Linked DNA regions of Struthio camelus. The protein of the gene in region 4 interacts with the protein of the main gene of each other region in a pairwise test. Links are inferred from orthologs where the notes say so. Each region holds a gene or a part of one and is shown on either strand. Other genes may lie near its edges. The genes, in order: SOS1, TNKS, SPTBN1 and SH3BP5.

The links.
Region 1: the proteins of SH3BP5 (region 4) and SOS1 interact in a two-hybrid assay, tested with the Homo sapiens proteins (2 studies listed by BioGRID and IntAct). The link is inferred for Struthio camelus from reciprocal best matches to the Homo sapiens genes SH3BP5 and SOS1.
Region 2: the proteins of SH3BP5 (region 4) and TNKS interact in a two-hybrid assay, tested with the Homo sapiens proteins (2 studies listed by BioGRID and IntAct). The link is inferred for Struthio camelus from reciprocal best matches to the Homo sapiens genes SH3BP5 and TNKS.
Region 3: the proteins of SH3BP5 (region 4) and SPTBN1 interact in a two-hybrid assay, tested with the Homo sapiens proteins (2 studies listed by BioGRID and IntAct). The link is inferred for Struthio camelus from reciprocal best matches to the Homo sapiens genes SH3BP5 and SPTBN1.

Annotation. Positions count from the first base shown.
Region 1 is NC_090944.1:139,621,827-139,628,662, forward strand, and holds the start of SOS1 (son of sevenless homolog 1), read left to right. Parts: upstream 1-3,824; 5' UTR 3,825-3,890; coding exon 3,891-3,977; intron 3,978-4,337; exon of another isoform or gene 4,338-5,321; coding exon of another isoform or gene 5,322-5,342; intron 5,343-6,780; exon of another isoform or gene 6,781-6,836.
Region 2 is NC_090945.1:3,094,054-3,101,454, forward strand, and holds the start of TNKS (poly [ADP-ribose] polymerase tankyrase-1), read left to right. Parts: upstream 1-4,401; 5' UTR 4,402-4,435; coding exon 4,436-4,943; intron 4,944-7,401. Other genes in the region: MFHAS1 (malignant fibrous histiocytoma-amplified sequence 1), read right to left, coding at 1-2,813.
Region 3 is NC_090944.1:119,317,417-119,325,222, reverse strand, and holds the start of SPTBN1 (spectrin beta chain, non-erythrocytic 1), read left to right. Parts: upstream 1-4,803; 5' UTR 4,804-4,897; exon of another isoform or gene 4,898-4,940; intron 4,941-5,186; exon of another isoform or gene 5,187-5,299; intron 5,300-5,529; exon of another isoform or gene 5,530-5,758; intron 5,759-7,806. UniProt on the Homo sapiens protein: Fodrin, which seems to be involved in secretion, interacts with calmodulin in a calcium-dependent manner and is thus candidate for the calcium-dependent movement of the cytoskeleton at the membrane.
Region 4 is NC_090943.1:48,870,465-48,877,644, forward strand, and holds the start of SH3BP5 (SH3 domain-binding protein 5), read left to right. Parts: upstream 1-4,167; 5' UTR 4,168-4,533; intron 4,534-4,608; coding exon of another isoform or gene 4,609-4,711; exon of another isoform or gene 4,712-4,897; intron 4,898-6,356; 5' UTR 6,357-6,459; coding exon 6,460-6,741; intron 6,742-7,180. Other genes in the region: EAF1 (ELL-associated factor 1), read right to left, coding at 719-813, 4,609-4,711. UniProt on the Homo sapiens protein: Functions as a guanine nucleotide exchange factor (GEF) with specificity for RAB11A and RAB25. Inhibits the auto- and transphosphorylation activity of BTK. Plays a negative regulatory role in BTK-related cytoplasmic signaling in B-cells.

The DNA.
Region 1 (6,836 bases), on a different chromosome or scaffold from region 4:
ATCAACTGAAAGCAAGAGCATTGCAAGGTGACACCCTTGTTGCTACCTACTTGTTCCTTACAGCTTTGCAATCATGACCCCGAGATCAGACTCCATGTGCCCTGGGCTGGGGGCACCAAGAGGTCTCTGGGCAGCGGTGGGGATGCATGCAACCACCAGGCTGAGGCACTGGGCACAGGCAGGGTGACTTTCTTGCCTCATCACAGGCTTTGGCTTTAGCAGTGCCCTGCTGGGTTTTAAAGGGCTCTATGTAAAAGGGCTGAAAAGAAGCTGATAAAAACAGGGAATGTGCCTAAACCTCTTGCCTCCCTTCGAGGAAACAGTCCAGATTGATCTAAAACATGGATTATAGGGAGCCATGTTCCAGGCCTGTATTGAGGGGTGCAGAGGGAGCTGTGAGGGGACACATGTCTGGAGAGGGGCAGGCCAAGGCAGGCCCTGGTGGGCTCTCAAGCTTCCATTGTGGACAGCGATGCTGGAGAAAGCAGTTAGCTTGTCTGCTTCCCAGCATCATCCTCTATGATATGGCTGCATCACTGTCTCCTTCCCTCCTTGGGGAACACCTCTTTGGGTGCAGACGTTCCCCCTAATTAGCTAGTTGGAGCTAATTTAAATTCAACATCATTCAGGTCCCCCTTCCTTTGTTCTGATATCTGACCGGCAGCTACTCCCAGCAGCGTCCTGCAGTCCAAACACAAGTGTATGTCTTCAGCCCCTGTCAGTCACTCCTGGTGGCATCCCCTCCTATCCCCCACTGGCAGTTGCTCAGTCAGGAGGGGTGCTGTCACTGACCGTAAGCCCCGGCTGCTCTTCCAGCCCTCAGAGGAGAGTATGGCAAAGGGCTGCTGTGCCCCTCCAGCTTGTCCTCCTCTCCCTCTGGCAGCAGCCCTGGGCATCCCAAATGTCCCCATCCTGCCCATGCACGTCATACACCACAGACAGCCTGCAAGCCACCACCACACTGGCTGCAGCCTTTCATTTCTGCTGTGATGACAGCAAGAGCGATCAGCCTCAGCTTTGCCTCTCTCGGTGTAAGGGCAGGTCGTCCTGCTGCCAGGCTGCCTGCATCTCCCCTTGCCACCAAGCTTTCTCCTTCCCCTTGTGCTTTGACCCCTCTGTTATTAAGTCCCTCAGCAGCTCCTAGCTTTTAACTCCATGCACTTTCCTGCAATAGCCTGCTCCATAGTGAATGCCAGGAAGGCTGCAATCCTCCCTCCAGGTCCTTAGGCACCCTGCCTGTAGCAACGCACATGTTTATATCCAGTAACCAGCAGCACCTGCACCTGATTGCACTTTGGCTGCCTCTGCTGCCCTCCATGGATGCTGGGCCACGAATCCAGAGGTCTGGGACTGCAACTGGTAAGCGAACAACATCTATTGCTCTCAGTCACGTTCAACTGATAGGTGGGATTTTTCCCATCCTGCCTTAGATGCTGGTTTAATTTTGCCATGTTCGGTGAAGCAACAGCTCCCCAGACAGCCATAGCGATAGTTGCAACTTGTTAAGTTGCTTCACAAGTGAAACCGCACACTCCCATACAGCACACAGAGTGTCTGCAGTTAGGCAGAGAACAAGTGGCCAGTGAGGAACCTGGAGTGCCTTGTCCACATCGACAAACCCAGGGCCCCCCCAGGCATGGGGGGCTCATGGTCCATGCTGGACTGGGCTGGGCATGGCAGGGTCCTAGCCCCGCTGTGGAAAATGGCTGTGTCAGAAGGGAAGCCTTGAATTTGTGTAAAAAGCCAACCAAGCAACCCTAGGCTTTCACCAACAGCCCAAGTCATGACCACTTAGGCAATACTCGGTCCTCAGATGGAAGACAGCATTTCCTTCCTGTCCAGGTCCTCAGTGTCTTTAAAAAGGGATTTTGAAGTGGGCATAAAGGCATTGAAAGGCAGGAGCAAGAAGGCTAAATACGGGGGGGGGGGGGGGGGGGGGGCTGAGTGCTGATAGCTCAGAGTCACAGGGTGTCCTGTGGCCTTACCGAACATTTGAACCAACTGCGAATACAGCGCCTGAAATCTTACGTTATCCGATGCTCTTTTGTGGGAGTGGAAGAGATATTGTAGGCCATTCACTGGTACTCAGGGGGTCTCAGAACACAGCCCTGACACCATCTGACCATCACCTCCAAAGAGAGGGGCTGGAAAGCAGAGCGCTGGTGCGATTTTACACCCAGCGTTATGCATATTCAGGAGCTCCTGAAGCATAATGCTTCAGGATTTAAGCTCTGACAGACAGATTTTTCACCATAAGGTAATGAGTACAGCATCTTCCCCGTCTATCAGATGCTGAGACTGAGTGTTCCTGAATCTGCAGGCAGCCTGGCAGGCCAAAATAATAGCTCTGAGATGTGAAATTTCCCTCCTTTCATCCCTCTTCCAGCATGTTCAAAGCAGAAGTCTGACTCCTTCAGACAGGAGTACCTGTGTAGAGGAAAAATGCCCGAGGCAGGGCTGAGGGGTAAAGATAGCTCTTTCTGAGAGGCTAAATACATTACCTGCCAAAGTACTGCTTAGCTCCTCAAGAACGTCTCCTGTCCCCAGAGTGCTTCACAAACATTAATTAGCCAAGCCTCCCAACACGCATGCCATTCCTGATAGATGTTTGTCTAACCAGTCCTTGAGACGAAGGAAGACTCCGCAGTCTCTCCGAAGCACTCTGTGTGGGTACTTCACCCTCCTCCCCACTAGAAAGCTGGTCCTAAGCCTTCCTTTCAGTGATCATACATCTTTCCTATCCCTCTTGCTCTCTGTGCTCCCTAACAGCACCTAACTATTGCCTCTTCCGGCCCTTGGGCCCCCGCACCTTGCGAAACAGAGCAAAAACTTCTCCTCTCCAGCATCATCCCTCCCTCCATCCTGCCTATCGGACCCCACTGACCACTGTGGACTTTGTGGTGCTTTCCGCCAAGAACCAAGCTCACTTTTCGCCCTTACAGCTGTTCTTGCGCTGCTTTAACAGGGTGTTCATTTACCTGTGATCTCTGTCCACATGCGAGATGACTGGACGCGTCAGAGACAGAAGTCCCCGGGCAGGCGTCGCACCGCCTCACCGCCGGCTACGTCTCCGCGTGCTCGAAGCCACCGGGGCAAGGAAGGCTTGTGAGGACATGGGCTGCCTCGGGGACGTTAGTAACGATCCCTGCGAACTGCCGCTCGCCGGCAGAGGGGCGGAGGGGAGGCAGGCGCCCCTCAGCGCCTCACAGGGCTGCGGAGCGCGGCCCTCACCGTCGCTCCCTTCCCGTCTCTCCTCCCCGGCGCCGCGGCCGCTTCGGGCAGCGCTGCCGGCGCGGGCGAGCGGTGTTTGAGCGGTTTCACCTCAGCGCCCGAGCCCGTCCTCTCGCGGCGGGGGCTCGGCTCGGCCCGGCCCGCGCGGCCGTTAACGGCTGCCCGCCCGCAGGGGGCGCGCGCAGGGGATGGGAGGGGGGGGAGGCGGGCGGCGGAGCGCGACCACGCGTCGCCGCGGCGCATGCGCGGGGCGGGGCGGGGCGGAGGGGGGGGGACGCCGCCGCCGCCGCCGCCGCCGCGCCTGCGCCGTGGCCGCCAGCCGTGCGGGCGAGGAAGGGGCGCGCGGAGCGCAGAGCGGCGGCGCTGCTCCCCCGCGGCCGACCCCGCCCCTCGCGGCCCGCCGGCCGCGCCGCGTGACCCCGCCGCCCTCCTCCCCCCCTCTCCCTTCCCCCCCCCCCCCCGCCGCGGGGGCGACCGCCGAGAGCCGGGCGGAGGGGAATGCGGCAGCCGCCTCCCCCCCCCGCCGCTGGTGGCCTGCCGGCGGCGGCCGCGGCGGCGGCGGCCGCGGCGGTGGTGGTGGTGGTGGGGGGGCGCCGCCGCCGCGCCTCGCTCTGAGGAGCCCGCGCCGCCGGGGGGGGGCCGCCGCCGCCGCCGCCGCCATGCAGGCGCAGCCGCTCGCCTACGAGTTCTTCAGCGAGGAGAACGCGCCCAAGTGGCGGGGGCTGCTGGTGCCCGCCCTGAAGAAGGTGAGCGGGGGCGGCGGGGGGGGGCTCGCCGGGCCGCGCCGGCGGCGGCCTGGGAGGGGAGCGGCGCGGCGAGGCGAGGCCGCCCCGGGCGCGGCGCCTGGGCGGCCGAGCCGGCGGAGCCGCCTGGCGGGGCCTGGTGCCGCCGCCGCCGCCGCCAGGGCTCTGCGCGCTCCGGAAGCGCCTTCCCTCGCCGCGCCGGCCGGTGCCCGCCGAGCATCGCCGGGCCGGGCGCCTCGTCCCCTAGCGCGGGTTTACCGGTGAGACGGCGAGTTGGGGAGGGGAAATCCTCCTGAGAGGATTTTTGGTTTAATCAGTGTACGGGTTAAATGGCTTTTTTTTCGTTAAAGCCTGTCTCGGTGTACGTGCTTCCCGCTGAGGAGGCGTCGTGGGAGCGGGCTAGGGAGCCCTGCTCCCTCGGGAGGGTGGTGAAGGTGATGGCTGCGGCGTGGAAAGAGTTGATCGGGAGGAGAGGAAAAAATCGTCGGGGCTCCTTTTCCGCCTCTGCCGCCAGAGTTCAGAAAGTAGAAGGCTTAAGATTAAGCTTCAGACGCTCCGGCTCGAACCGGCCTCAGATCGCTGGACTCGGTCAACGCTTTTTAGTCATACGCAGCAGCGTTTTACGAGTCTGTTTGGTTATGGTGATTAACTTCGACTCCTGCGCGCCCAGGGCTAGCTGAAGCGTTGGGTTCCCCAGCGCGGACTGGAAGTCTCGAGTGTTGCTGTTGTACCCGTTCAGTATTTCTTCCCAATTTCCTCTTGCGATGTGTTGCCTCACGTTTTTCTGGGCATGCTCTTTGAGATCTCCTGCACTGTGTGGTTTCATCCAGTTCTTGGAAGTCCTCTTACTTGTCTCATCCGTAGGCTAAGCTGTCAAATGTCTTATCCCTGATCATTAGTCACTTTTTTGAAACTAAACTTCTGGGCTGACCGTATGACCCAGGCAAACCCTGCTTCTTATGGCGCTTTTAAGCGCTTGGGCAGCCAGCCGGCGGAAGCTTGGTTGGAACCTGGAGCTACCGAGGTCTGAACCCCTGAGAGCTTGCTTTTGTGGCGGGTGGGTTATTCCCCCACCCAGAGGTTCATCAAGTTTGGAATGAAGCTCAGTGCTAAATGCTGGAGGAAGAGAGCGAGGATCCAAAGGCAAATATGAGTTAAGACTTTGGAATTACTTGCTACATGTGAAGCACTAGTTTTCATCCCAGTGGACAAACCATTCGTGAAGCCGCCCTGGATTGAAGATCCTCACCGAAGGAGCTGGATGAACGCTTTGGGGAAAAGGAGACAAGGAATTCTGGAGTCGGAAGTCAACAATCAGAGAAGGCCAACGATGACCAGTTAGGAAGGATGACAAACCGGCCAAGCAAGGTATGGTGGTCTTGATTTCACTGTGTTATGCTCTGTTTCTTGTTGTGTGCAGAGGGATGGCAGGAGTGATGTGGAGTTACTACTGAAGACTCTTCTACACTCAAACTTGCAACTGTGTGGCAGATGTTAACTCTTCTAACCTCAGCTCTTCATGAGGTCACCACCTGTTTCTTATCTGCTCCCAGGCTGTAGTCCAGTGTGCTCCAGAATCATAGTCCTCTTTGCTTACTGTTCCTGTCCCTGCAAATGTAGAAATGAAGCATCTGTCCATATTGCCATCTACCTTGCTGAACAGCTGGATACTCTAGTTACTCGATACTTAAATGGCAGATGAAAACATTAAAGCTAATGGAAAAGCCAAACAGAGTATTTTACGAGCTTGCGTGGGTACACGTGGTCGTAGCTAGAGTGTTTAATCCTGACGGGCCCTGTAAAGTTATGAACATAATTGGCAGGTAAAGCCATCAAAAATACAACATGCTTGCTTTGACTATCTTCTTTATCATTGAATTGCTCAGAAAACAGAGATGATATTGCAGCTTTGCAACCAGTGGGCTTGAGACATTGACCCTTTGCTGTGCTATAGGCCGAGCGTATAGCTAGACGTCAGTGTGTGCAGCTGGTAAAAAAGAGAACGTGGCAGCATATGCCAGCAGGGTCAAAGGGCAGAACTAGCCTGGAGGGAAACATGGTGCCTTGTGCCTTTTTCTGCTAAGTTGCTAGGGTAAGCTGTCGCAGTCAGAGTCAGATTAGCTGAAGCTCAGGAGCATCCCGTGGTTACTAGTGGAGAGCTTTTTCCTCATGACTCCCAGTTAGCTGGCCAGATCCTGATACTCGGTCTCAGGTAGTGACAGCAAGTAGCTTTCTGAACTCTCCCTTAAAGCCAGTTAGATCTGCAAACGGGGTTGTGAAGCTTTCCTGTGTATTTGGAAATGAGACTTGACAATTTGGAAAGGCCTGTCTTTGTGATCAAAGTGGTATCTCTGATTAGGAGAGCAGCATTTTGATTTAATGTTGCCAAAGTATGTACACCAGGATGGAGTGTTCCCAGCCACTGGGGAGAACTACCACATGTGGACTGAATCGTTAAACTGCCATTACCCTTTTGTAACTTTGAGTAGGCTTGTTGTGTTGAGTCTAAATTATAGCCCCAGAATCAATTGCTTACAAGCCGCGTGTTGTTAAACCATTGAAAATATGTATTTTTCCCAAGGAGTTGTTCTGATTCCATGTTTTTATGAAACAACACAAAACAGAATATGTTGCAAGAACAAATCCCTTCCTACATCAGTGAATTTTAGGAAAGTATGCCTTGTCTTTCATTAGATATTGACCTTAACAATAGGCTCTGTAATGCACTGTGTTTGCATGGAACAGCTGCATTCACAAAAAGCAGCTCTTGTACCATTCAGATCATAATGTAATCCCTTTTCTCCAGTTCTCCTTCAGATGCTGTCAAGATAGACTCCAGTGCACTCAATTAGGAAGAAAATG
Region 2 (7,401 bases), on a different chromosome or scaffold from region 4:
AAGGACTGTCCGCTCAGATTGGCGCCGTTAATCCACGCCTCTGCATGGGGCACCTCGTTCTTCACATAGCAAGGGAACTTGTACCAGGCAGCCGCCCCGTTCAGGGGTTTGCATTTGGGCTTGTTGACACAGTAGCAGAGGCCCATCTTCTCCAGCAGCTCCAGAATGAGCTGCAGGTCTTCCCGGCTCTGGATGTGGGGCTTGAGAAGCAGGCGGATAATGTGGGCAGGGAGGAGGCCATGCAACAAGAAGCCCTCCACATAGTGATGGAGCTGGGTGGCCCTCAGCTCATCGATGTGGGTGTCGCTGAGCAACTTCTGGAGCAGCACAGTGGCATCCCGCTGGCAGAAGACGTTGAGGATATCGATGAGCCGCGGCAGGTTGTGGAACACGTACTCCCGCAGTGTGAGGTGCTCCTCAAAGTAGAGCAGCTTCCCACTCTCGTGGAGGTAGGACAGGGCACTCTGGAGCCGATCCTCCGTCAGGCCCGCCTGCAAGCCCAGCCGGGCAGAGTCCCACCAGCTGAGCCACAGCTGCTGAGCCTGCGGCTGGAAATGCAGCTCCTCCAGCACTTGCCAGGATTTGGGCAACACTCGGTGCAGGTTTGGGAAGATGTCCCGGTGCTCGGCCACTGAGAGGAGTTTGTCCCGCAAGCGACGCACCTGGCAACGGTCCCGGCAGCTGAAGGGCAGCACCGGGGAGAGAATCTGTGGGCGGTGGTTCAGAAGATACTGAAACTGGGCTTTCTTCCGCCGCAAGTTCTTGTCCGAGACCCCGTAGAAGGTGGCGTGCGGGCTGGAGCAGCGCAGGTCAAAGTCCTGTCCCAGAGCCTCATCCACCTGCTGGACCAAGCTCTGGAGTCCCTCAGCATCCCGTTTCTCCTGCAGAGCAATCTGGTGATGGATGTCCAGGCACTTCTCCTCCAGCTCCCGCTCGGCGCAGAGGTCGGCATGGGTTCCCACCATGCACACCACAGCATGGGGCACCTTAGAACCAAGCCAGTGCAAGAAGTAGCCCACAGAGCGGTAGAAGTGCTGAGGGACGTAGGCACTCAAATTCACTACCAGCACATACAAGGCCCCGGGGGAGAGGAAGAAAGATTGGATCACATCGTAGCTCGGGTCCCCCGCTAGCTCATACACAATGAATGTCAGACCCCTCTCAGCATCCGCTGTCCAGTCCATCACCTCAATGCCCTTGCTGCCTCCTGGCAGTCCCGCTCCTGATGGCGCTTGGAAGGCGTCCGGTGGCAGTGATGGCGCCGGGCACAGTGTTTCCCCCTGCACTCTGCGAGAAGGCGCATGGGGGACATCCCGCCGCTCAACAGGGAGCTGCTCCAGCTGCTGCATGGCAGGTACCCGCGTTGAGGAGGTGTCCGGAGGCTGCGGGAAGGGGCAGCACCCAACCGGCACTCTACCAGCATCTCGCTGCTGACCAGGGTAGCCTCTGGGCTGGGCACTCCCTGACTCCGGACCTCCCGCGTCCTCCCTCTGCCTGTCCTCCTCCATGAGGCACCGTCTCAGCAAGGTCTTGCCCGCATCCTTCAGGCCCATGAGGACCAGCTTGAGGCGGGGCTTGAGGGCAGGCTGGGAGTTGGCCAGCTCCTGCTGGTAGGCCGCGATGTAAGGGATGCCCTTCATGCACACCTCATACGGGGGCTGGATGAGGGGGTTGTCCTTGATCTTCCACAGGGTGACGCGGGACAGTTGCCCAAAGCCCTCGGGCAGGATGGCGATCTGGTTGCCTTGCAGCACCAGCTCCTCCAGGCTGTGGAGGAGCACGATGGAGTCAGGCAGGTAGCGGATGCGGTTGTTGTCCAGCCAGAGGGTGCGGAGCTGGCGGAGCTGACAGAGGCCAGGGGGCAGCAGGGTGAGCTGGTTGCGGCTCAGGTAGAGCTCCTCCAGGCCGGGCAGGGCCAGCACGGCGGCAGGGAACTCCCCCAAAAGGTTGGAGGAGAGGTTCAGCATCTTGAGGCGCTGCAGGCTGCCAAAGCCGGCGGGCAGAGCCCGCAGCCGGTTGCCGTCCAGCATGAGGCTCTCGAGGGCACCCAGCTGGCAGAGGCCCTCGGGCAGGGTCGCCAGCCCGGTGCCGCTCAGCCAGAGGATCTTGAGATGGCGGAGGGCGGCGATGCCCTCGGGCAGAGCCCCGAGGTGGCGGTTGCCGGAGCAGTCGAGCTCCTCGAGGGCGGCCAGCTCCAGCAGCGGGGCAGGGAAGGCGGGCAGCAGGTTGTGGTCGACGTCGAGGGTGCGGAGGTGCCGCAGGCGGCCCAGCCCCTCGGGCAGGCGGCGCAGGCGGTTGAAGCTGAGGTCGAGCTCCTCGAGGCGGCCCAGCTCGGCCAGGCGCGGCGGCAGGCCGGGCCCCTCGGCGCCCAGCTCGTTGTGGCTGAGGCTGAGCTTGCGCAGGCCCCGCAGCCCCGCCAGCGCCGCGCCGTCGCCCAGGCCCCGCAGCCGGTTGTGGCTGAGGTCCAGCTCGGCCAGGCGGCCCAGGTGGCGCAGGGCGGCGGCGGGCAGGCGGCGCAGCCGGTTGCGCCGCAGGCTCAGCGCCCGCAGCCCGCCCAGGGCGGCGCCCACCTCCTCGGGCAGCTCCTCCAGCCCGCGCCCGCTCAGGTTCAGCGCCTCCAGCTCGCCCAGCGCTGCCGCCGCCGCGGCGGGAGGGGGGCGGGCGGCGGGAGGAGGCGGCGGCCCCCCCGGCGGCCCCGCGTCCGGCTCGGGCTCGGGCTCGCCGCCGCCGCCGCCGCGCAGCTTCCGCGCGAGCAGGGCGGCGGCACCGCCGCGCCACGGCCGCGCCGCCTCCGCCGGCTCCGTCTGCGCCATGGCCGCGCCGCGCCCTGCCCTACCTGCCGCCGCCGCTCGCCATGGGCGCGGCGCCGCCGCCGCCGCCGCGGCGGGCTGCGGGCTCCCGCCGCGCCGCTGCCGGCCGCGCACGTAGCCGCCGCCGCCGGGGGCGGGGCCCCGCCGCGCTCTCGCTCCGCCCCTCTCCCGCCCTCGCCCCGCCTCCTTCTCGCCCCGCCTCCTTCTCGCCCCGCCCCCTTCTCGCCCCGCCCACCCCGCCCCCTTCTCGCCCCGCCCACCCCGCCCCCTTCTCGCCCCGCCCCCTCCCGGCCCCGCTTTCTCCGGGCCGGGCTTGTGCTTGAGCGACGGGTCGGTGCTGGTGCAAGCGGTGCCGGAGCCCGAAAACGTTCGGGGATCACCCCAGACCCTTCCCCTCGTTCTCAGCAGCTGAAGCGAAGGCTGTCAAACGGCCAAGAGTGCGTGGCATTGGGGCAGGGGGGGAAAAAGGAGGGAAGAAACGGATCCCATTGCTGCGGATTGCGTTATACACCCAGAATTGCGCTCGGAGTTACTAATTTTAGATGATGGCCCTGCAAAGGCCTGTTGACGGGGTTTTTAATTATTCATCTGAAGCCTGAGGTTCCCTCGCTTTACTGAGCCAGGCAGCTGCATTAGTAATAAGATTTCTATCTGCAGCGCAGCCCTCCGGGGGCCGGAGAAAGACCTCGAGTTACCAAAGGTGGTGTAAAGCCCGATTCTGGGCTTTGCTTGCTGAAAGCCCCCGCCCGCTATTCCCGTACCACTTCAGACCTGCTCGTTACTCAGAGGACCTCCCAGGCCCTAACGAGCCCAGAGCTCATGAGGTCTTTGCCAAGTACTCACTCTCCAGGCCGCTAGTTGGTTTCTCTTTGGAAGGCGGCTTTGGGGTAGGGGACGAGGAGGACTGACTCGTTCTGCTCAAAATCTCAGACCAAACGTCTTTTCGACAGCAATGCTGGATTCCCGCCCTGCTGCCCAGGTGGGAATGTGTCAGGCTGGATCCTCCAGCCCTTGGCGGGGGGGGAGCATGCAAGGCGCAGGCATGCCAGGGCTGAGGGTGAACGTGCAAGGGGTCAAGGCTGGGGGTGAGTGTGCAAGGAGTCAAGGCCTGGATGAGTGTGCGAGGCGCAGGCATGCCAGGACTGGAGGTGAATGTGCAAGGGGTCAAGGCTGGGGGTGCGCAAGGAAGCAGGTGGGCCAGGGCTGGGGGTGAGTGTGCAAGGGTCAAGGCCTGGATGAGCGTGCAAGAAGTCAAGGTTGGGGGTGAGTGTGCGAAGAGGCAGGTGGGCCAGGGCTGGGCAATGTGCGAGGGCCGCGCGTGCAGCGGGGGGGGGAGGGGGGCGCGCGCAGCCAGGCACCCCCCCCCCCTTCGCCCCCCGGCGGCGCGTGCCGGCAGCCGCGCGCCCCGAGCTGCTCGGAAGGCGGGCGCTAGCCGCGGCCCCGGCAGGGGGTGGAGCCCGCGAAAGCCCCGCCCCGCCCCAGCACCCCTGTCGTCACGTCCGGGCGCCGCCCGCGGGGATTGGCTGGGGGGGGGGGCGGAAGCGTGGGCGGGCGTTGCCGCCGTTGCCGCAGTGACGAGGGCTGAGAGGGAGGCGGGGAGGGGGGCGGTAGAGGAAGGGCGAAAAATGGCGGCGCCGCGTCGCTCCCAGCACCACCATCACCACCACCACCTGCCGCCGCCGCCTGGGCCGGCCTCGCCGCCGGCCGCCGCCGCCTCGCCGCCGCGCAGCCCTAGCTTGGCGCCCGCCGAGCTCGCCCCCGCCGCGCAGCGGCACAGCCTGGCCGGCCCTGAGGGCGAGGCGCCCTCCGAGGCCGAGCGGCCTCCAGCCCCGGAGAGCGCGGAGGGCGCGGGCGCCGCCGCCGCCCCGGGCCCGCCGCCGGGCTCGGCCAGCAGCTCCGGCAGCTCGTCGTCGTCCTCCTCCTCCTCGTCGGCGTCGTCGTCGGCCGCGTCGAGCCCGGCGGTGGAGAGCCCCGAGGCGGCGGGCCTGGGGGCGGCGAGTGGCGCCTTCCGCGAGCTGCTGGAGGCCTGCCGCAATGGGGACGTGACGCGCGTGAAGCGCCTGGTGGACACGGGCAACGTGAACGCCAAAGACATGGCGGGCCGCAAGTCCACGCCGCTCCACTTCGCTGCCGGTGAGTGCCGGGGCCGCTGGGCGAGGCGAGGGCGCCGGGGTCGGCCCGGCCTCCCGTTCCCGGCGGAGCAGGGAGAGCCGGTGCCTCGGCGTCCTGCACCGGCGCCTCCCGCGGCCCCTCTCGCACCCACCTGCTGGGTGGGCGCAGCAGGGAGCGCATCTCCAGCGTCCCGGGGGGTCGCGGGGGCGCAAGCTCGTTCCTGGGAGAGGAGGAGCGCGAGGGCGCTTTTCCTGGTGCCGTTTCACTAATGCTGGGTGCGGGAGTAGATGGCTGTTAAACCCCTCTCTCTCCTTCTCCCCCGTCCCCAAAACGGGCAGAGGATCATCCCTTTGGGTGAGAAGAGGGGGAAAGGAGAGCCTGTGGGGGCATGAGGGAAGCCGTATAATCTAAAAGTACTAAAATAACTCCCTGTATTGGCCCCACAAGTTGCTGACTTCAGCATGTGGGCTTAGCAAGTGAGCAACTGATGTCACTATGTTTCTGGAACTCAGGGCAGAGTTGGTTTGGATTTAAGGTTTTCACTTGTATTGCAGTAGCTCTTGAAAGTCAAGGAACCCTGTGATGCAGGTAGGCTTACTAGGAATCAAAGTCAATGCATTTTTGTGTTTTGACTGGTGTGTGTGTGTGTGTGTTTTTTGGTTTTGCTTTTTTTCCTGTTATCTCAGTGTAGCTACGGATTGATCTCTGCCTCTGTTGTGGTTTGAGCGGGCTGGGGAAAGAGGTGAAGTGGAACAGCTGAACTCAGTGGGAGGTTACAGCTGTGTCCAGGAGACAATATGCCTCTCAGTGTGGGGAAGAGATGATATTGTGACCAGAAATAGTCACTGTCATAAAATAAGTCAAAAGTGAGATTCAGTGACTGACCTCAATTGCAAATGAACATTGTCTCCTACCAAGCATAGCTACTACCCCTTAGTATAGTCTATAAAGAGAGCGTTTTGTGGGGGGCTGGCCATGGCTAGAGGCACAGGGGGAGTGAAGCCCGTGATAACAGTAAAATGGGGAAAATAGTTGAAGTCAGGACTTGCACGGTTGCTAGGTCCGTGGTCAGATTGAAGTCTTTCTGACAAATGCCACAATGATACAGATTGCCTTGATACCATCCAGCGGGGCACGGATCTTGTCTGAGCTTGTAAGTAGGCCAGTGGCTATGGGATGCCCTGACCTACTCCTGCTGATGTGCCATGCTTACTGGCCTGCTCCTGGCTGACAGAGTGGTTGCTATTTTAATTTTCCTGACTTGGCACCACAAGCTGGAGCTCTTTAATATTGACAGTAGAGTTCTGGATCCCGTTCTACAACTCGGAACATGCTCCAGTAACCCTTGTCAGATAAGCAGCACAATAGCCAATATGAAAGAGAAACAGAAGTTGCTGAAGCCTTTACTCAGGCTTTATTCTATGTTCAATATTTGAATGCTGGTGTATGGCTCTAAAGCACCACATGGAAATCAGTTACAAAAATAAGCATTTATCTGACACAGCGTTGCTTGGGACTCCAGGTAGTGCTGTTCAGTTTATCTCTGTGTTTGTGTAGGTCTGTTGTCATTTCCAAAGTCAAAGTGGCATCTCGTGGTGGCTCTATGGGAAGTACTGGTCTTGAGCCATTTGCATCTCCTCTAATCCCTGAGCTCTACCAATAAATACTGAAATGTGCAGGCCTACTTAATTTCAGTGAGCCCTGGGAGGTGATGCTGGCACAACTGCATGCATGTGCACAAAGTGCTTAATGTTTTGGAGGCCTCATCTCACATCAGCTCACTTTGGATTCCAGCTTAAAATTAGACCCCGCTTCTTACCCTTAAGTGCTAAAATTTCAAGTTATAACTTCAGTGGTAGACTAGTACAAACTGTAGTGCTGGTCCTGTAGTGGTACAATATTAATTTCACTTAAAACCTGAACTTTGGTTAGAGAAGGAGCTGACAAAACCTAAGGCTTTGAAAGGCAAGAGTGTTGGTGCGATTTTACTGTAATAGCAATGGAAGATGCTTCCTTGTAGCATGAGGAACACAGCAGGTGAATTTCTTATACCTAATAAGACTGTTTGTTCTCTATTTTTGTAGATTTAAAGACTTTCCTTAGCTGCCAAGCGTATTCTCTCAGAAATTAATGAAGCATGTATCTGACTGAAATGAGTTTGACATCTAATAGCATTAGATAGATTTCTTATTAGAGAAAGACTGAGGTCCTAAATTTTGAAAAGGCCTGTAAACAAGTTTGAATGCAGCTGGTCTTAGGCAGTATGTAGTTGCAAGTGATGCAATACATTGATAGGATCTCCTTCCCCTTTGTGGACAAAAGGAGAAATAAAACCCCTTTGCTTACAAGCATAGGAGTCTGCTATGTGTATTAAGCAGTGTTATGTGTAATAGCACAATTTTATGAGTCATAGCTAACTTTACAAATTGTTTGGCCCCTCTTATAAGAGGAACAGGAGTTGAAGAATGCAGTGTGCCAA
Region 3 (7,806 bases), on a different chromosome or scaffold from region 4:
AACCTGTCTGTCTAACTGACTTTACTTGTTGGTATTATGAAGGGCTGGCGTTTTAACTTGTAAGTATTCCCTCATTAATTGTCACAAAGTTGCAGGTTTTGGCTTTTGAACCCAGCAAGCGGAAGGTTCGCACTGAAAACATTAACAAATATTTGTGGTCGTACTCTAGTGAAAAAACATCCTCTCTACCAAACCCGAAGATGCTAATTTTAAAAATCTGTGGCAAAACATATGTAGCTGCCACATTCTTTACAAAATGCGGGCTCTTTAAAAAGAAGAAAATGACTGTCAGTAACTGGGATAACTGGCTAGAGCCCACAATACTCCTGCTATTCTGGTTCCTGCCTCTCTCAGGCATTCATTCCCACCCAGTTATTTCCATGATAATCCATGGCCCACCCCTCTTTGAGCTATGTGGGTTAGAAAGCCAGAATCTTAAAATATGCTGGATGCTCTTGCCCACTCTCTCCCCTGTATTACAATCTTTTTCCTGCCTACTTGTTTGAGATATATTAATAGTTGAGTGAAGGATGATTTTTTTTTTCCTGATGTTTCTTAAAATCCTGGCACTCAAACAATTATATGTGTGTGCGCGCATGTGCGCGTGTGTCTGGAATGCAACGTTAATTAATTTCTAAAACTCTACTAAAACTTAAGCAACTTGTTAGCAGAGTAGCAAAGCTTTGTCACATATACTTAGTGAGTTTGATCTGCTTTTTGTTACAAGTCATACCAAAGACTTACTGGCTAAGACCTTTGCTTTCTAAATTACTGAACAAAATCCAAATAATGAGGTTCACAAAAAAAGCCTGGTTAGGTGATACGGCCAACCCAGATAAAATGTACAAATATATTTTCATGATATTAATCTTACCCCATCTAATCTTATAAAAATTAGCCATAAATAGAGAACCAGTGCCCTAACTGAATTGTGGTCAGCTTAATAATATGATATCCATGTACTAGAAATGCCCCATTGCTCAAAGATGTTGCCTTGCTTTGCTGAAAGGCAACTGAGTTACAAGCTAGTCTTGAGTCAACTCCTGCTCTAACATGGCTAGTGGACAACATACATTATTTAGTTCTCTGAATGTTGCTGATGGCTGAAGTAAAAGCAGTATTCATGCTGGATCAAAAATCTACAGAGATTTATCCTTCAGAGCTTGAAATCTGAAAGTCAATGCATACTTAGGCACTTGCTGGTTTTCATTGTCCATAGCCAAATTATTCAACTTTTTCCAAGAGCAAAACTCCGCTTAAGCTAGTGGAAATTCTGCTTGGTAAAATATTTGAGCATATAGGCCACACAATTCAGAAACTCTACTGAACTTTTCATGTTATTTGGGCCAGATTTAGTCAACCTGTTCATCTGGAGCAATCTCTTAATCCTGCAGCTATTCCAGCTAATTTCTGTACCACTATCTGGGGAAGTTCAGGAAGGGAAGAACGGTTCTCTTTTGTGTTTCTTTCTTTTCTCTGTGGATACAACTTTTAAAAGTGATTGTCTTGTCCTTGGTTACCGTAATGTTTACGAATCCAATGTCTTGGATTATTAGTTGTTAAAGAAAACAAGCTCATTCTACCTCCATTTGCATGACGCAGAAGCAGGCACCTTCTAGTATCTATTCAGAAGCTCTAATCGTGGACTCTCATTGTGGGCGACGCTATACAAATAAAGAACACAAAAATGGTCCCTGTATTAGGCAGTTTACAATCTAAAGGTGCTGTTAAACAAGGTAACTGAGCTGATCTGTTTGCTGCCACCAAAAGAGGAGACCCTGCTCCCCTCTTGTCCTGCTGCTCCCAGAGCAGATCCAGACTTTCTTCTGGTCCCCTCACAAGCCAGCTCAGCTCACTAAACCAGAACTACTTTTTTGTTGCTGTTGAATTAGGTTTTACACCAGAACCAGTACAACGGAGGAGCAAGACAAGGGGAAGGGGAGCTGGGCTGCCCCATAGCTGCTTACCTTCTACTGTGCCCCAAGAATTAGGGGTGAACTAATGCAGGCAACAGACAGGGAAGTACAAGCGCAACGCTTGTCAAGGCTCTTGAAGGCTTCATGACAAAAGAGCATTTTAAGGAGAATTTTTGAACGCAACTTTTTCTAAGTTGGAGGGATGGAGAAATGGCAGAAGGCATGAAGTTAGTTGTCTGATAGTGGTTCATACTCTGGAAAAGTGAAAGATAGGAGCTGGTGCTGAACAGATATACAGGTACAGGGGGAGATGAAAGTGTAGCTTAGCAGCTTACGCCTGATCTAACTGAGAAGCGAGACCACCGGAGGGATGCAGAGAAACGTTGGCCTGTTCAAAACGACAGATGAGGAAAATGAACTTGCAGCAGCATTCAGAGTGAGTTTACAGAATCACAGAATCGTTTAGGTTGGAAGGGACCTCTGGAGATCATCTAGTCCAACCTCCCTGCTCAAGCAGGGTCACCTAGAGCATATTGCCCAGGATCACATCCAGACGGCTTTTGAATATCTCCAGGGAAGGAGACTCCACCACCTCTCGGGGCAACCTGTTCCAATGCTCTGTCACCCTCACAGTGAAGAAGTTTTTCCTCAGGTTCAGATGGAACTTCCTGTGGTTCAGTTTCTGCCCATTGCCGCTTGTCCCGTTGCTGGGCACCACGGAGAAGAGGCTGGCCTCATCCTCTTGACATTCCCCCTTCAGATACTTGTACACGTTGATGAGATCCCCTCTCAATCTTCTCTTCTCCAGGCTGAACAGGCCCAGCTCTTGCAGTCTTTCTTCCTAGGAGAGGTGCTCCAGCCCTCTAATCATCTTGGTAGCCCTCCGCTGGACTCTCTCCAGGAGTGCCATGTCTCTCTTGGACTGGGGAGCCCAGAACTGGACACAGTACTCCAGGTGAGGCCTCCCCAGGGCTGAGGAGAGGGGCAGGATCACCTCCCTCGACCCGCTGGCAACACTCTGCCTAATGCACCCCAGGATCCCATTGGCCTTCTTGGCCACAAGGGCACACTGCTGGCTCATGTTTAACTTGTTGTCCACCAGCACTCCCAGGTCCTTCTCTGCAGAGCTACTTTCCAGCAGGTCAACCCCCAGCCTGTACTGGGGCATGGGATTATTCCTGCCTAGGTGCAGGACCTTGCACTTGCCTTTGTTGAACTTCAGGAGGTTCCTCTCCGCCCACCTCTCCAGCCTGTCCAGGTCCCTCTGAATGGCAGCACAGCCTTCTGGTGTGTTAGCCTCTCCCCCCAGTTTAGTATCATCAGCAAACTTGCTGAGGGTGCACTCTGTCCCTTCCTCCAGGTCATTGATGAATATATTGAACAAGACCGGACCCAGGACTGACCCCTGGGGGACACCACTGGCCACAGGCCTCCAACTTGACTCTGCACCATTCACCACAACCCTCTGAGCTCGGCCATCCAGCCAGTTCTCAAGCCACCTCACTGTCCACTCGTCTAGCCCACACTTCCTGAGCTTACCTGTGAGGATGTGATGGGAGATAGTGTCAAAAGCCTTGCTGAAGTCCAGGGAGACAACATCCACTGCTCTGCCCTCATCTACCCAGCCAGTTTAGGTAGGCAAGGCTGCAGAAAAGGCTGTGGTAGCAACTGAGAAGTGAGGTGATGACAGTCTCGAGGAGAGAGTTGGCCATCTGGCTGGATAGCGAAAGGTAATGCTCTGGACCTAGCCCGGAAGAGGGAAGTCGGGGAATGATGGTGTCCAGACCAGCGACCTGAGTGGGAAGTGTGATGGTACTATCTGCTCAGGTCGCAGATAACTTAGAGGCCTGTATGTGGTTACAGCTTAGGAGCTCTCTTTTCTACGTGGTGAATTAATGGTTTACCATCCACAAGGTGTCAGAAGGACAGGATAAGATTTTAATTTCGGCAGACGATAACAAGCCTGGAAAGGTAGATCCACACGTTGTCCACAGAGAGACTGTTACTGAATTTGCACCTCAGGGTGAGCTTACCCAACAGTCAGGTGCAGAGGGAAGCACAAACTAAGCTTCCCTTAAGACTCCCGCTGGACATTGGGAGTATGAGAGGATGCACTGAAGGGAGGGGTAAGGAAGAGGCTCTGGGGGAGGCAGGCTCCGAAGCCAAAGGAGAACAAAATATCAAAAAGAGCCAGGCTGATAATTTTGACAGGATGGAAATGAAGCAATGTTCCAGAGATTAGGCCAGGAAGCAGATATTAGGAACTTTGGCAAAGTAGTTGAGTGTGAAGGGTAAGAGCCAGATAAGAGAAAGTTTAAGATAGAGTCAGAGGAAGGGAACTCCAGATAGCAGTTAAAGAGCGTGAACGTGGAGCTGAGAAGCGGGAGAGGAGACAATGACAGCTGGGGAGGCAGATGAAACCAAGCATGGTGTTTTAAAGGTGGAAAACCCTAGGCCGTAGCCGCATTGTGAGCGAGGGGGGACGAGGATGGGCACAAAGAGGCTGAGGACGTGCAAGCAAACAAAGGGGCTAGGCTTAGCGAAGGAAACGTGGAGCAGAAATGTCTACCTCTGGACTGGCTGGAGAAGAGTTGCATGGGGCGGGGAGGGGAGCCGAGCAGGGGAAAGGCACATTGTATGTGAGCCATTTTCTCTGGAAAGATGTTGGCAAAATGCTGCCCAGAGAGGGAGGAAGAGGGGATGCGTGGCAGAAGGGCGGCGGGGATGGAGTTTCAGGGCACGCGGTTACCCTGGCAAAGGCGAGCTGTTTCCCTGGGAGGGTGGCAGAAGCAAAGCGGGAGAGGATGACTGTGCAGGGGAGGAAGTCAAGCCCAGGATGGGATGTCCACTGGGAATGACAGAGCAGCAGAAGAGCAGCACTAGCGGAAACGGATGCTGGGGGAGAGCCAACATTGTCCTTGCGATAGGAGAGGGTGTCAGAGGAGGAGGAGCGTGAAGTCTGGGGAGACCCCCGCAACGCAGTAAGCGCCAGGGAAGGAGCGGGGAGCAGCGGGCAGCGCCGGGGTAAAATCCAAGGATAATTTCGCGCGAGGAGCCGCGGGGTGGGAAGGCCGGACGGGGTCGGGGGGGGGGGGGGAACCCGGGGGGCGCCGGGGCCGGTGGGGGGGACCTGGGGGGCGCCGCCGGCGGCACCTGCAGGTCCCTGCGCGGCGGCGGCGGCCGCTCGCAGCCTCCGCAGGGCCGGGCCGGGCCGGGCTGGGCGGCACCGCCGCGCCCCCCCCCCCGCCGCCGCCGCCGTCCCCGCCCGCCGTCCCGCCCCTCGCAGCCGCCGCGGCCGGGCGCAGCGCGGCGCAGCGCAGCGCAGCGCGGGTAGCGCGGGTGCCGCCGCCGCCCGGGGAGAGCCGCCGCCCGGCCGCGGAGAGGTAGGGAGGGACGGGGTGGCGGGCGGGCGGGTGTGTGCGTGTGAGAGAGAGAGAGACACCGGGCGGCGCCCCCCCCCCCCGCCTTCGCCGCGGGTAGCGGCCCCGCCGCGGCCTTCCTCCCCTCCTCCTCCTCCTCCTCCTCCTCGCCCCCGGCACCGCCCCGCTCTGCGGCGGCGGCCCCGGCCCGGCCCGGCCCGGCCTCCCCCCGGGCCGCCGCCCCTGCGCCCCCCTCCCCTTCCCCGCGCAGTGCCGCCGCGCAGCCGCACGCCCCGCCGCGGTGCGGAGAGGCGCGGGCGCGCTGTGGCGCGGGGCCGCCAGGCTCTCCAGTTTTTTATTTTATTTTATTTTATTTCTTTAAAAAAATTTTTTTGGGGGTGGTGTAGATTTTTTTTTCTTTTTCTGTGCTACGGCGGTGCGCTCGGAGCGGAGGCGGTGGCCGGAGCGGAGCGGCGCGGCACGGTGCGGAGCGGGGCGGAGCGGGGCGGCGTTTGCGGCACCGTGGTGGCCGGCGGCGCTGTCAGGTCGCTGGCCACTGCGGCGCTTTGTGCTGGGCGAGCGCGGGGCTGGCGCGCAGCGCCGCGGCGGGGTCCCGCTCGCGTCCCGCGGTGAGCGGGTGCGTTGCTTCGGTGGCCGGTTTTATAAATCCGCAGTGATAAAAGGCGTAGTGCGTGGGCTTGATATCATTATCTCTGCTAGGTAGCTCTTGCTGATGGATATAGGCCGGGCTTAACCGAAAAAAAAAAATGGCAGACTTGTGCTAGGTACTGTGAGACTGCAGTCGCTCTGAAAAATCCCTTGCTCATGGCACTGGGGTCCGACCTGTTCTTTAGCTAGCCCTCCTTTCAGGCTGGTTCTGTTGATCTTGAAATGCACAAGGGAAAAAGAGTGAAAAACGGAATTTGTTGTTTTAATATCTTTAAGCGTGAGCAAAATTTTCTTTCTTATTCACAGGAGGTGAGTCGAGAAGCGATCTATGTTTTGAGATTTTACTCAGTGCTGGCCATAGGTAAAAATGCTAAATACTCAGTATCGAGAGCGTAAGGTTATTGTAAGTGGGAATGAACATGAACTGTGAGGATTTGGAGCATTCGGCACAGCCTTCGTCCTTTATTGCCAGGGTAGAAATACTATGAAACTTGCTTATTGAACTATGTAGCTAGTTTAGAAAAATTACTGTTATTCTTTCTGACCTTTGAATGTATTGTCCTGAAAGACCTCTTGGGGAACAATGCTCCTGGGTCCTAAGGATTATAAAGCCTGGTCGTGTTGAGTAATTTATTCAAAGAAATATCAGCCATGTGAAAATGCCATGGGAGACTGTGACACCTCAGGCCATTGCAGAAAAGCCCAGCTGGAAGGAGGACTTGCATATAGTAGGAAGCCTCTGGAGGGAGAGATAGGAGATGAAAAGGATATGGGGATAAAGAGCCAGAACTGGTTGGTGATGGCAACTAGCTGCTCTCTCTGAGGTATTGTTTCATCCATTGTTGTTTGCTTTTTTTTCCTCACTAAAGCTATTTCTTCCTAAAGCAGAAATGGCTGTTGTGATGCCTACATGACTTAGCAGTGGCTGTACGGCTATGGGGAGTGTGCAGAGGAGCTGGCTGGCTGGCTAATGTGTCACAACCAGTGGTGCTAGATTGGCCAGAAATAAAACAAATAGGAAATAAAATTTTTCTAAGGTGCATGTTTTGTTGCTTCATACTATAGTGCAAACTTGGTACTAAAAATACGGTCAGGCTATAGACTACCGGTCCTTTTTGTGTTTTTCTGTAGTGCGGGTTAAGTGCAGTAAATGGTATTCAGCAAGGCAAGATGCAGCATTTTTGGATGAAATAGGAGCTTGCAGCAGTTATGTGGCAAAAAGCATTACAGATGCTGTTTCACCTCTATAGTGGCACAAATCCTGCAGCTTTTGGAATTGCTGTGCATTGCTGCACTCTGCCTGCACGCAGAAGAGGACCAGGGAGATGGCAAGGCATTCGTGCTACGTGTAGGGAGACCGGCACACTGCTGCATGGCTTTCAGACAGCCCCTTTCAAGTAGACAACCAAACCGTTTTATAAAAACAAATCTGTTTTATCTCCAACGTATATAAAATCTCATCCATTAAGCACCATTTATTGGATGGACAATGTAATGCTCGTTTATATTACATCACCTGACTAAGGATTTGTTTTTAATATGGGTCAGTTACAGGATTTAATTTTGTGGTTGGATTACTTGCATAATAAGTGTTGTATTTTGTTTGCGAGGAATATATGGGCATATTTTATGGAACATGAATGACAATAATCTATTTATTCAGATTTTTAAGGGTCAGACTGTGACAGGTATTTAGACAGTTAATCTCTACAGGCACCTAAATTCCTGAGTCATCTGATCTGGGCACAAGTTAAAAACCGGTAGCACAATTTATCATTGCCTATTACCCATGAGTCAGCTCCTAAATCCAATCCAGGCTGGTATCTCTGACCGCAGGCCTCCTGCTCGCCATTTCACGACTC
Region 4 (7,180 bases):
GGCTTGACACACAGCACTAGCTTCTGCTAATAAACAAATCCAGTTCCAGAATGCAATCACTTTCTTTTGTTTTGGTAAGGAAATCACTGATCCTTCAATTACAAAACAGCTGCAGCTATGGACAGTTTGATCACTTCTTTATTGCTGTTTGACCATCATCTTTGCACAGTAGACCTTTACAGCATAATTTGAGGAGGAAGTGGACAGACGCTTCACTGCCACTAGCTACAAAACTCTTTCCAGCTTCCACTGATAAACCCCAGGGCAAGGAACAATCTATACCATTTGTACACACTTTAGTAACGGAAAGCACAGACTTAAAGGCCTACCTGTGGCTTCTGAACACCAAATCTTGACTCAACTCAAAACTACTCTGCCTTTCCTCCTTAAGACACAGCACTAAAAACGAATGAAAACTAGGTACAGACTTTGGGCTAATAGTAAAGTCTTCTTGTTTGTCAAAGAACAGGGGAAAGGAAGGAATCAAATGCAAAGAAAAGATTGGAACCTCCCAGGTATAAGCCTTTATAAAGGCTCGGCTGGCCTTTCCTAAGGTAACACATTACAGTTCTGGCAGCTTGAATATTGAACCCATTTGTTTTAACAAAGAGGAAAGTGAAAATTACATTTACAGTAGATTGCACCTACACAGCAACTACTTGTAAATTTGTTAGAGAGCAAACAGGGAAACATACACTATAACATACAACATACTTACTGGAATATGTGGTAAGGTGATTGTTACTTCATCTCCTTTACCAACTTGGAGCTCCCCTTCACAAGACGTATCGATCGATGCTGGTTTAAAATCATCTAAAGAGGAAAATAATTTGGATTCTATTCATGTGAAACTGTTTCTTAGAGCCTTCATAATTCATCCTCCCCTGTAAAAAGTCACTGCACGTTTACTGTGATATAGGGAACATTAAAATACACGTTAGCGCTTACAGCAGGGGTAGAATAACATACCAGCACAATGTGCCTATGCTCAGAGCTCCAGTCACATGACAATATCAGATTCTAAATTTACTTTTTAAAATGGAAGTAACTTTCTAGACCTTTGTGTGTGCAAGACCAAAAGCAGGCTTCTCCCAACGACGTCAGTACAGCGACACTTGATTTTGCAGATTTTGTAAAACTGTTCCATGCATCTCAAAAGAGTATTAACGGCAAGCCCCAGTGCCCTGTATGGGTCTTGCCACTTCCAACCCAGAGGATACTTCTGTTCGTGACAAAGAATAACTTAGCGAGGCCATCCCAGTTAGCCTCACTGATATTTCTGACAGCCTTTGATAACAGCCTTTTTGCCTCCGCACCTCCACCTCAAGCGCAGAGCAGCTCTTAAACCCCACCTGTGAGGGGGAAAACAGAGGTGCTGGTCTTATTTCACCACGCTTCATGCTAGGACAAAAACACTGTGAATAGAGAGCACAACTAAGGCAAGACACTGGGATAGCTATAAGCTGCCCCTAGTGTTTTTGGTGCCTTGTACAGAACACTCTGTCCCTCAAGCAATACACTTTTGTTTACTGTATTTAGTTGAACTAAGAACATTTTAACTTCAAAGTATTTTCCCCTCAATTACTCAGCTGCGATGAGCCATAAAAACCAGAACAAATGACCAGAACACATAACATTTTGACAGAGAATTTAGACAAAGCGAAATAATATCAGATAGATATGGATATAGGATTTTTTTTTTTAAAACAAGCATCCATTAAATCCTAGCATCTCAGAATACAAAGAGGTGCAATTACATTCACAACCAAGACTTTTAATTATTGCATTAGTTAAGACACTAACATCTCAGAACAAATTTAAAATGTAATTCCACTAGGAAAAGCACGTTTGCAGGAAAAAAACAGCTTTGTAGCAAATTCTCATTAGGAGGACATTAATGTCTAATTGAGTTTTACTTTGACAGCACAACAAGCAAAATCAGGCACACTTGACTTAATCCTCATGCCTTAACTGCCAGACCAAATCATATCCTTGGTTTTCATCTGACCAATCTATTTCTAGCTATTGTTTCCCATCTACTTCATGTGCAAGTTTGCTAAATAGAACATAAGCTCGCTGTAGAAAGGCTAGGGTCTTTGCCAAAAAGGGATCACAACTTTCAACAGCGCAGTCACTAAATGAAAAGCAAAATATCACTAACGTGCTTCTTTCTTGGATATTAACAAAATATAGAGTTATTCCAAGCAAACACTCAAACAATAAATTGTTTTCTTTTTGTATCTACTTGGCTAATTTTCCTGTAGACGGAGGGCAAACATGTCCACCTAAACGTAGCTGCAGTCCTTTTTCCAAAAGTCAAGTTTCTTTAGATGTGTTTTCCATGGATAATCCAGTTTTTCAGTTCGGAATTTCATAAACATTGCAGAAAAAGATGAGGTATTTTAAGGAGCAAGAGACAAATTTAGCCTGCAAAATCCTCTTACTGTAGTTTGTATGAAGAGGATTAGGGGAACACTATGATGCTCAGATCCTAGACTAATCATTTAAAATCAAGAGTTAGAAGAAAAAGTTATAATCAGCAAAGCGAAAGAGATCTCACTTGAAAGTCACTGACTACAAATACAGCACACAGAAAGCTCTTTGAAAATAAAACTGGATTTTTCCGGTTGTAGTCTGAAGTGTTCTGGCTTTGCAGTCCCTTAAGAAATTGATTACTGAAGACCCTTCAGTCCTAGAAATCCAAAGTATTATCTGGACATGACCTAGGTTTAATTCATATGCTATCAGACAGCAACCTCATTTGTTTGATGGTTGGGCTATTTTAAAACTTTGATTTATAAGTGAAGATTTACTACTGTGCCAGTGCTGAATAAAACTAATGGTATTATGAATAAACAGTAAAATATATCACACACATGCTACGGCCTTCTTTAGCATCATGGGGTTATGTAAGTGTAATAGAGGGGTGAACCACACAAAACTTAAGTGTTAATCTGCGGGAGAGAGTTTACTATCTAGGGAAACAGCTTCTCTGTAAACACTGATCCTCTGCTTGGATAATAGCTCAGTCTAGAAAATTGTTCTTTCAAGCCTCACTCAGGTGACTAATCTCACTGAAATTATTTACTCATAGTGTATGAAAGCAGGCTATGAAACCAGGCCTAGGAGTATACATCATACAACAAAAAATCCTGCTGTTAATAGTATAAATTCTCCACACTAATACAAAGATACTAAAATACAGTTTCACTATAATTCTCGTCTCCTGTTGCTGATTAACTACTAATTTTAAATGTTTAGAAAAAGTAATGAAAATGAAAAAGCAATTTCTTGTCTACAGCATTCAAATACAGAGATACAGGTGATCTCCTCTTCCAGGAGGAGATCCTCTAATATGATATAAAATGTATTCCACGCTAGAAAACAGCAGTTGAAAAAGACGTTTGGTGTCTTAGAAAAATACATTTTTCCAGCTCCTCCAAAGCAAAATTACTGCTCGAGACCTTGCCTCAGCATTTATCTTATGCTTATTACCACTTGTTAGGCAATACTGCATGCGTTGGAATCATTTCTGCTTGCCTTCCTGGAAAGTGACTTACAATAGACCTTGAGAGTCAACAGAGCCGGGGAAAAAGTTGCTGGGTTACATGGTGCCTCATTACGGCAACAATCAGTTAAATTGAATCGGCTGCAGACAAGCTGTACTCCTTTCCCGACACTCCTGCCCACCCAGAAGAAGCCAGACCAGGGCCTGTGGTGACCTGTAACACCAGGCCCATAAGAAAATGGAAAGCCTTCCCTTTGAGGAGGAGGAGGCTTTATGCTCTTAAACGATTCACGTGCACTTCACGAACAACTCCAGAGCCCCTTTGTCTTCTGCAGTCTGCCTCGTTCACACTTTTGCTCTACTAGAGGGGGCCGCGCGAGGAGACCCGCTCTCCCAGCACGTCTGTTTGTAAACGCTTCCAGCGCAGCCCTGGCCGGCTCTCCGTTGCCCTCCCCCTGCCCCCTCGCTGCTCGGGCTGCAGCCACAGAGCCAGAGGGCGAAAACGGGCCCTGGGGGGGACACGGGGGCTAGTTGGGGGGGGGGGGCAGGGAAGAGAGGATATAGGTCGCTGAGGGGGAAGGAATGGGCTCTAGGGGGAACGATGGACTCTGAAGGGGCAGCAGGGGCGGGAATAGGCGCTGAGGTAAGGACTGGGGAGGGGGGGAAGGAGGGCTGAGGAGGGCAGTAGGGGCGGGAAGGAGGGAGAGACGGGCGCTGAGGAGGGACGATGTCGGAAGCCGGCGCGGCATGAGGGGTGGCAGCCGGCCGGGGGCAAGCCCCACGGGGGGTAGGGGAGCCTCGTCCCCCCCGCGGGGAGGCAGGGCCGAGGCGGCGGCCTCGGGAGCGGGGTTGCGGGGGGGGGCGGCTCCGAGGCAGGGCCGGGCACCCCCCGCCATGTCGGGGAGGCGCTGGCCACCCCCCCCCCCCCGCCATTTCGGGGAAGGCAGCGAAGGGCGGCAGGAGCTAGAAGGGACGGCGGGGCCCGGGGAGGAAGGTATCGCGGCGGAGGGCGAGCTGCCGGGCAGGTAACGTGTGTGTGTGTGTATGTATATGTCCCCCCCCAACCACCACCCCGGGCGGGAAGGGGCGGGGGCGCTCACAGCGGATGGTGTGGAAGGAGGCCTTGGGCCGGCGCTCGAAGCTCTCGCCCAGCTGCAGCGGGTGCTCCTCCTTGTCCAGTAGCGGGTTCGCCGAGCCGTTCATGGCCCCGCTGCCGTGCCGTGCCGTGCCGTGTCCTGCGCCGCCCGTCCCTTCCTCTCCTCCGCCCGCTGCGTGCGCGGCCGCCCCGCGCCCTTCCGGGCCCTGAGTGCAGCCGCGAAAGTGCTCCGGGGCCGAGCCGAGCCGTCTCGTCCCGTCCCGTCCCCTCTCCCCACAGGGCACCGAGGGCAGGTGGGCGCCGTTGGGGGGGCACGCAGGGGGTCTGGCCCCGTGTGGGGCGCCCTCCCCCCCCCCCGCAGCGGGGTCTGGCCGCCCCTCGCGGCGTGGGGCGGGGGGGAGCGGGGGCTGCGCGGTGCTAACGGCTGCTAACGGCTGCTGGGGGGGTTGCGGGGCGGGCGACCGTTATCGTCGTGTCAGCTCTTTGGTTTCTGTCTAACACAGGGGTCTTTCCAGACGTAAAGGGGGCAATTTAAACGGGTCATTTCCCCCCCCCCCACTCCCCTCTCTAGCTTGTCTTACCCCAAAAAACCCCGCACGCGTTGATTTGATGCGTGCCAGGCGCACAGCAGAACCTTTTTGCTGCTGAAACTTCTCTTTTTGTTTTTTTTCTTTCTTTCTTTGAGGATATACCTTCAAGAAAAAATCAAAATATTACATATTTTGAGGAAAAGCCTGTGTCTTTAGTAGATTTTCCTTCTTCAAGGGAGTCTCATCGCTGTTGGCCTTTCCCAGCCTTCCTGCGGGCAAGCGGCGTGTGGTCTGGCTCCTGTGAAGCTGGGCACAACGGGCCCGCTTCCTCGTTTCCCGCCGTTCCCGCGTTTGTGTGTTGTGTTTGCACTGTTACGTTTGTACTAACCAAGATAAAATAGCGGAATGAAGTACTGCTCGTTGTTGTTGTTCTTTTTTGTTTTGCTGAAGGGTAGAAGTTGTTGTTTTTCCTCATTTCCGTTTCTGTGAAGCGGCACGAATGCCCAGTCCTGGGCACTGATGGACGTGGATGGGCGCGTTTTGGCCTGCCAGGGGTTTCAGGGGAGTTACTGGGTCACGCGGGATTTAATTCACGTACGCCGTCTGGGTGTTTGTGGCAAGGCAGAGCTCAGAGCTAGTTTAACGTTAGGGAAATGACTTGAATCCTTTCCTGGCCTCCATAAAGGTGTTTTTATTGCCTCATTTTTGTTAACTTCTGAAAAAAACATACCCGTCATTGTTCAAACTGCTGTGAATCCTCAGGAAGAGGCAGTGGAAGGAGTGCGAGCTCAGGAGAAATGTTAAGGTGAATATGGTTTTCTTTGCCAACTGAAACGGGACTCTTAAAAGGTGTGCCCCCTGCTTTTCAGTTGTGAGCTTTCTGAGGTGTTACTAACCAGAGTTACAAAGCCCGTGTTTTCCTTTTCTAGTCGATTTTAGTGCAAATAAACTTAGAGCTGCATCATCTCTCTCTGGTTGGGTAGTTTTCTATGATACGTGTGGAAGACCAGCAGAATTTGTCCCCTGTGTTCTTTGAGATCAGTGTAGTGTCTTACCTGGTGCTTAGCTTTGAAGGAGGATTTCTGAAAATAAGAGAAGCAAGTCTGGTGGTTTTGCGGTCTGTTATGTAGGGCAGATCACCATAAAACCTCCGAAAGTGCATACAAAAACTAACTATCTCCCTCTCTCTCTCTCTCTCTCTCTTTCTCTTTTGTGCTTTTAGATCCTTGGTTATTTACCAAAATTAAGTGATGGAAACATATATATGCTAAAAAAAAAATCACTGTTGGGGCTTTGGTATTCACATCTCTGTGAAATACTCTAGGATGTTCCATGAAAACCCACCAGCCGATTGCTTAAATTTAATAATTACATCTACTGAAGCTGATGCTTTCCAAAAAAAAGGCCATAGTGCAAGGATCCTTAGCCCCGAAGAAGCTGAGAGACTGGCAAAAGATAAGGTTTTGGTGACTGATTTCAAACAACTAAAATTGGAGAAAGAGGCACAGAAGAACTGGGATCTATTTTACAAAAGAAACAGCACCAACTTCTTCAAAGACAGACACTGGACAACCAGAGAGTTTCAAGAGTTAAAAGCATGTCGGGAGGTGAGCTGAATACACCTATCTATAAGTAAAGAGATATGATTCATTGTTTTCAAATGATGTAGTAATATTTCTAACAAAGCCATTAAGGTGAGAGCTCTCACGTTTTAAGTGTGTAGTGCTTTGTGTAGTGTAGTCTCTTTTAATGTCAAAGATATCTCCTCAGGATCAGTTTAGTTTCAGTTTATAATTCTTTCATATTGTATATGGAGAACCAAATCTGGAATATTTATTTTGCATCTGCACAGAGAGACAAGTTGTCTATTTAGGACGCAAGTTACAGCACTTAAAACACTGTTTTAAAGAAAGCATCCAGAACTACAGGCTAATTGCAAAATATCCTTAAGGGGAATAGTCAGATGCATCTGTTGCTCATTCTATCTGGATGAGACACAAGACAGCAATAGTACAACAATCTGTTAATTAAGTGGGTGGATGACTA